2 linked regions of the Lepisosteus oculatus genome follow. The protein of the gene in region 2 purifies or fractionates together with the protein of the main gene of each other region. This does not show direct contact. Links are inferred from orthologs where the notes say so. Each region holds a gene or a part of one and is shown on either strand. Other genes may lie near its edges.

Region 1 (3,750 bases), on a different chromosome or scaffold from region 2:
CACCACAGACACGCCACGGTATCTCCCATACCCCTTACACTGTCACTATTTTAGAATAAATATCACTAATACGCAGAATGACAGCAAAATGGCGCTGGAATAAAACATTTTAAAGGGAGGTCGCCATATTGTAAACACAAGCGCAGGCGAACCGCAGCGCAGACTCCATTTTTTTCCCCCAAAATTGCCAAAGCCCCGTTCAGTGAAACCCCGGCCAAGAAAGAAGAGGGGAGGGGGGAGAGAACTACCCCCGGGGATTAAAGCAAGGGCGCGGACACGCAACACTGATTAAAAAACAAAAACAAAATGAAAGTGGCTGATATTTCACTTATGGGTGGACATCATTCGGTTCCGAGATAAGGAGGCTCGATTCGCTCCGGCAGGGACTGTTGCAGCCTTAGCACGTAAAACACTGGAGCTCGAAACCTGCCCCGGCCTGCCTCCCCCCCCACACACACACACCCACCCGGGGGCAAAAGTCCACTTGCGGCGTTTCGATGGCAACCGAACGGAGCCATTTCCTTTCCGTAACCTCAACGGCCGAAACCTTGAAATCCCAGAACGCCAACACCCCCCCCCCCGACTCCCCTGAAACGCAACCGCCACACACGCCCGTATCTTTCCTCTTCCCCCGCGTCCCCAGTCTTAAAATTGAAACCGTGTTGTTTTGGTAAACGAAACCAGGGCGGAGGGTCCGTCTGGCCGAACAGGGGCCGCCGGCTGCCTCGGAGCCCAGAGCCGGCCGCACCGCCAGCGCGAGACTGGCGGAAGGGCCGTGTTTGCCGTCGCGCCCCCCCCCCCCCCCTCGCGAGGGGCGCTCGAGCCGGCGGGGAGAGCCGGTCAGCGGGCCTCACCAGCACTGTAAATGGAAGGCGGCCGGACAGTGGTCGCAGCAGAGCAAGTCCCCTCCCTCCCGGCAGCTGTCGCAGGTGTCGTGGTTGGTGGCCCTGCCGCTCCTCCGAGCCTCTTTATCCGGCTTTCGGCTCCTCTTCTCCCCGTCCTCGGATTTGGGGGGAGCGAGGAGGGTTTGGATTTGCTGAAATGTGACAGGGACACAGACACACACACAGAGGGAATCAAAAGTTAAGGGGAAAAGCGAACCAGTTCCTCCATACGCGATTTCCTACATATATGTAGCTGCACATATCGATTACCAGACCGCGGCTACTGCTGCTATAAGGGCTGAAGAGAGAAATTACCACGACTTTGACATGCCCGAACTTCACTTTTTTGAGTGACTCTGAAAAACAGACAATGAACATGGCGTTTGCCGTCTGGGGGCTCAGTGCCATTCAGCTAATGTTTAAATGTGCAAAGATTAAAAAGTTAAAAACAGCCGTCCGACACACGGCTCCTGGCCCGGGTGCGTAGTCCTATGGGCCCGGCGGAGCACAGTCGCCAGTGATGGTCCAGACCGAGCAAAACGTAGCTTGCCCTGTCAACATGTGTCGTTTTAATAGCTGTCACTCGGTCAAAGCCGAGACAAAATTCAAGGGGAATTACTACATTTTGAGAATTCGTGTCACCTGCAGGTTTGTATCACTTTTGCACGCCTAATCCCGATTTGAACTTTTCAAATCTAGCCGCTTTTGCCTACCTCTAATGCAAATTAACAATCCCAATTCTACACGACGGTGTTTTCTTTAAATAAAACAAACGCACTTGGGTCAGGATCATCTTTAAGGCCTTACCTCCATCAGACCTCCAGTGGTATCCAAATCGTATACAATCGTTGGGGTCTCCATTTTGTCCCACATTCATACAGCAGTCAGTTCCTTCGGTATTAAACGGAATCCTTACTGAACGCCGCGGCTTTCCAAGGTAAAAAGCAACGGTCCCAACATACAAAAGTATCCAAATGGCCAGCTGTATTTTCACCCGCAAACGTGTCCCACCGTGGGCTTGCAATCCGTGGATTTAGCGGGCTTGTTTACAAACGCAAGAATATGCAATATTTTTCCCCCAATCTGATGACTATCGCACGGCGGCGAGTCCTTTCTTGACGAAATCCACCAGCGAAACCAAAAAAGCACCGGAGCCCGAAATTCCGTCAGTTCCACGCTTCCCGACGGCTCCAGTTCACAATGGCGAAGGTGCTGGTCGCGGGACCAGGTCCAACCATAAAAAGCAGAAAGAAAACCACAGGAATACAAGAGCGTGGCCTTTGTGAGGCCTAACCTACATGGTTCTTGTTTCTGCTCCTGCAATTATAGCTGCTGCTAGCAAAGATGCTCTTCAGATCGGCAGAACCGTTCCCTTCCATAATATATATATATTTTTTAAAAGCAATAAAAATGCACCAGGGTAATCGATAGGCCGACCACACGTGGCTACAATCGGGGATACCCTTGTTGTTATTTTTCCACAGATCACTGCCGTTATTGCGAGATAAATATTATTGTTGTGAATCAATCCTGTGCATCTATCCCCGACACTGCTAACATCCTCTCCATGGAGTTGGCGCAAACTTGAGCAAAGCGCCGTCTGGGCATGCGCAGTCCCGTAATGGTGGATGAAGTCTCAGGTAGCCATCTTGGTAGGGTATCATGTCGCTTGAGCTTCCAGCAGATGGTTTACAAAACAACACGTTTCACTCCGTTTTACAAAAACAACCATTAAGGCCACAGGAAGTTTTCTAATTTACTAATCTTTATGTACCCGACAGGGGGATATTTTGCAGGAACAGGACTGACTGTAAGATTTAAAAATAGGAAAATTCCGCACATATATCTATGTCGTCATCATCCGGGTATCTGCCACCACTGCGCAGACGCTTAGCATCTTTGCCACTGAAGGTCGGAGACGCCATATTGGTAATGGCAAATTCCTTCTCGTCTGTGGAGGTGCATTTTTTTGGCAGTTGTTTTTTAACTGTCACCCGTCCTACAGAACAGTGACAAGCACACCAATACAAGCTTTGTACTTTCCGTGTTGCAGACAGGGGATTTAAAGCTGTGACCTCTTATCGGGCCGAAACACGATTTACGGCACAGACCCTGCTGCGGTGGCATACTCTAAAACGGAAGTGCTTTCTACTTCAGAGGGAAAGAGCCTGGTCCTTTCCGGTTTTGCTTTGTAAATAGCGTGAAAAAATATGAATATCCCCGATTTCTCTTTTTATTTAAATAATGTTTAAGAAAAATAAGTCTAACACCTTCGCCCTTAAAGGCGAAACCCGTTTCAAGACCAGTTACTGTTTTAATGATCGCTTTAAAAACAGTGACGTACTTCAATTTCAGAGACGGAGACCAACATTCGATTTAGGTCAACAGAAAATGTCATTCAAGGGGGACCACCGTACCTAACCCGCCGATGGTGTAAATTCAGATTAAACGAACGATGGGAAAGTAAAATTGACTGTGTTTTTCAGGCCGATGGGGGGGGGGACATTTCGGCTCCCCCTCCATTGGCGCTGACCAGCCTCTCACGCACGCTCGACGTCCTGCCTCGCTCCCGGCGCAGAAGCTGCGTCTAGTTCTGCGGACCTGGTTGTGCTCCTGTGACGCGTCACACGCGCGAAAAGCTCTTCTAATATAAAATAGTGTAGTTAGAAACGGTGTTATAATATTAGAAAACAAGTTACAGAATTATGATAGTTAAGAAATACTAGCGCAGTTTCGCACTTTGCCGGATTACACATAACATGGCCACAATTGTAGGGTTATTTTGTAACACTGTTCCAAGAAAACCCGTTATGGTCTTTTCTGCACGTAGACATATTGCAATGCCTTGCATCCATCTGTGGTAGTG
Region 2 (3,750 bases):
CTTTAAATACTCCAAAAAATTGAGCATTTTCAGTATATATCTTTATGTACAAAACAAATGTTGACATGAAATATGTGAAAAATGTCTCACACATCACCTTCTTTTCCTTTACAAACTCAAGACTCCAGAGACAATTTATGGCCAAGAGCACGTTGTCTCCTCCCAGCACAATGCACAATTTCTCAAGACATTTAGAACACAAATGCCAACTAGACCACATGGTTGCAAGTCTAGAGTTCAGGGTTCAATGCCGGATTTACTAATACTGTTCACATGGGGGATCTCCAGGTACTCCAGTTTCTTCCCACCTTCTTAAAATATGCTGGCTATATTATTCTCCAGAAACTGCAGTCCGGAGCCAGGTGTAGTCCTCCATAGCCCCACCTTGTACGCTGTTCTTCAGGAAGACTGTGGATGAACCCAGCTCTTCCCAGGATGAGGTGGCTTTCTAATGACGATTATAGGAAGAGCCTACATTGCAGATCATCCCATAAACGCAGTGCCATTCCACAGGGCGGGTCTGCTCTACGCACTTCATGAGTTCTTATCAGTCTCCGAGCACACTGCCCAGAAAATCAAAACCGAACCAGCACTGCACTCAGACTACAGGCTGTTCCCAACAGATTCCTTGATTGCAATTGCAGGTGTGGGTCCTATATGAGTCCAAATGTAACCCTTCTCCGGGCGAAGAGGAATAGTGGGGAAGGGACAGCTCCTGGACTTAAAATACTCAGAAGGCGCGTGGCACACAAACTCGAGGTACTCCATTTTTCTGGGTAGGTCCTCTTCTGGCCCTAAACAAACAAACAAAACAAGAAAGGGAGAACAGGGCAGTGGGCGCGAAGCGGTTCTGTGCGGTCCGGCTTCTCGGAGTCCGGCCTCACCGAACTCACCGACGATGTAGGTGGCCGGGTCGAACTGGTCCCGGGGGCTGGTCTGGGTGGGTATGAGCCAGGTCAGAGCGGCACTCTTCTCGCAGTACTGGTCCTGCACGAACCCGCGGATCTGGGCATAGTAGGGCATCCCGTCCTCCTCATCGATCACCCTGATGACATCCCCGATCTGGTAATACACGCCCTGGAACGACAACGGGGAAGGCAAGTGTGCGGCCGGTGCTTTCGCAACGGGTGCCGTTCATTAGTCGCTGCTTTCAGCACAGCTTACCTTGTAAAAAACGGATTCGGAGGTGATTATTGTAGACACCGATTCCGGCGCTTTAATTGGCTGGAAAAAAAATTGACATGGGGGTTTCTGGACTTTTCGCTACATCAGACAGCTGCTTACACATGCTGGCTCACAGCGGGTGAAAGCTTACATTTTTGAGCTTGAAAATGTGCCGTCTGCCCTTTCCTTTAGTGGAGACCTTCTTCTCGTTCGCCGGAGCCTTGTACTTCGTGTTTCTCAGCCGCGCTGAGCGCCTGTGGATTTCTTGTTTAGACTGAAAAACAGGATTATCTTATCAAGTGAAAACAAGACTTTAGGAGTCCTATATAGCACAAGAGTAAGCCCGTCTCCTAAAACTAAGAGGCAAAGCTCATACATTTCGTGACGAGATTTAGCTAGAAAATATATAGGGTCATATTTCATGTCACATGTCTTGATGTCAAGGACTTTTTGGGGATAAAGCCCGGAACATCATTAATTATTTGGCTTTTACAAGTTCGAGGGGCTGGAAAGGCACATTGCTTGCATACGCTGCCTCAAGGGTATTTTGGTTTGAGAACTGGACATGACCCGGAACAGACATGTTTCCAGAGCCGCAAAGTGAGGCACATCAAGCCATCAACAGCAGGATACAAAAAAGAGGAGTGCCAGAGGTAACGTCCTCCGACCATGACCTTTAGAAACGCATTCAGGGGGTATAAACCCTCCCGACTCACCAAACCACCCCCGAACAAGCAGTTCCGCCACGCCAGACAGGAGGAGAGGCGATTGCACGCCGGACTAAAAACACAACATTTTAACACGGCAAGAAAACAAAACGCCCTCGGCCTACGACAGACCTCTAGCATAAAGGTCTCCAGAAGACGATCAAACAAAAGTAGTGCCTCAATAAGACCGTCACTGCGGCAGCCCCTTTTACCAATCAAAGCGGCTCGCTTGCTGCTTCAGAAAAGTGAGGTTGCCGTCTGGGTACCGTCCGCACCTGCTTCCCGCCGCCATTGCTCTGCTGTGCCGAGGAAGAAGACGCGGTCCCCGGGGCTCCTCCGGTGGACGCGCCGCTCTTCCCGGTACAGCTGTTGCACAGGATCTCCCCCTGATTCCCCTTCTTCCACATGGAAGAGGAATTGGTTTTGCAAACGCTGCAGCAGGGCTTCAGTCCCAGCGGCATGGTCCCGGCGCGAAACGAGACGCAACTTCGGCTGCTTTCGGGTCGGGCGCGTCAGTCTTTTCCTAGAAAAAAACATGCGGGAGCTAGGGCTGCTGCTGCTGCTGCACTCTGTAATTTATTAAAGTTTAAATCTGATCGGGGTTGGGGAGGGGGGGACCATCCGTAACAAAAGCGGACCCCAGGAACTCATCTCCGGAAGAGGACCTCAAGCTCCGCCCGTAAACAGCGAGTCGATTGGCTATTCAAGCCACCGAGGAAACTCTCCGAGCTGTCACATTCGCCAGCTGCTCCTGGGCAGCGACAACTGCGTGTACCGCCCTCTGCTGGGTGGAGGACCGATCAGCTCCGATCACAAAACGTTAAAACCAGGAACCGGACCTTCGGTTTCATGGGTTCGTGAAGACAACGATTAGGTTATAATTGATAGGTTAGAATTAGGTTAGAATTGATCGTCTCATTTCGTAAAACTAATTTCTCTTCAGTGTGAAGACGAGAATGTTTCCCTTTTATAATGGTTCTAATGAATTGTGGTGATGGGGTGAGAAGAAATTTATATCCATAGTGCTGATAATAGACGCAACTAAATGAAATCCAACTATACCTTATAATTAATAATAATTGCTTAAACTTATATAGCTCTTTTCTGGACACTCTACTCGAAGCACTTTATAAGTAACGGGGCTCCCCTCCACCACCACCAATGTGCAGCATCCACCTGGATTAGGAGGCCATGATTGGGAAGGGCCAATGGGAAATTTGTCCAGGACACCAAGTGTTACACCCCTACTCTTTTCGAGAAACACCCTGGGATTTTTAATGACCACAGAGAGTCAGGACTTCGGTTTTACATCTCATCCGAAGGACGGCGCCTGTTTACAGTATAGTGTCCCGTCCCTATGCTGGGGCATTAGGACCCACATGGACCGCAGGGTAAGCGCCCCCTGCTGGACCCACTAACACCTCTTCCAGCAGCACCCTTAGTTTTTCCCAGGATGTCCTCCATCCAGGTACTGGCCAGGCTTACACCTGCTTAGCTTCAGTGGGTTGCCAGTTGTGAATTGCTGAGTGATATGGCTACCTTGTTTGGCCAAAATGGATATGAAATGCAATTGCACTGCCAGCAGGTAGGACTTATCAAGACGGGGCAGGTCTTATAACTTGGGTCATATTCTTTCAAAACCTACACTTCTGAAACCTAAAAGAATATATGCAGTATCATTTGTAACACTTGCTTTGATGTTCTGTGTTCCGTGTTTTACAACAGCAGCACTTCTTAATACAACAGAACTGATTTCTTATTCTAGGCACAGAAGGATGATGAGCAGGATCAAGAGTGGCCTCTGTTGTGTTGTGGGAAAAGTAATTATAATAACGTGACCAGACAAATAATATCATGGTAATGTCACACAAAACTTATT

What was found.
Region 1: the proteins of gatad1 (region 2) and phf12b purify together in Homo sapiens (affinity purification with mass spectrometry; 7 studies listed by BioGRID and IntAct, with this or other methods). This does not show direct contact. The link is inferred for Lepisosteus oculatus from reciprocal best matches to the Homo sapiens genes GATAD1 and PHF12.

What each region holds. Positions count from the first base shown.
Region 1 is NC_090721.1:7,537,194-7,540,943, reverse strand, and holds the start of phf12b (PHD finger protein 12), read right to left. Parts: upstream 2,484-3,750; 5' UTR 1,758-2,483; coding exon 1,692-1,757; intron 1,037-1,691; coding exon 855-1,036; intron 1-854.
Region 2 is NC_090705.1:5,057,115-5,060,864, forward strand, and holds the start of gatad1 (GATA zinc finger domain-containing protein 1), read right to left. Parts: upstream 2,546-3,750; 5' UTR 2,333-2,545; coding exon 2,147-2,332; intron 1,439-2,146; coding exon 1,316-1,438; intron 1,225-1,315; coding exon 1,165-1,224; intron 1,078-1,164; coding exon 894-1,077; intron 795-893; coding exon 604-794; 3' UTR 1-603. UniProt on the Homo sapiens protein: Component of some chromatin complex recruited to chromatin sites methylated 'Lys-4' of histone H3 (H3K4me), with a preference for trimethylated form (H3K4me3).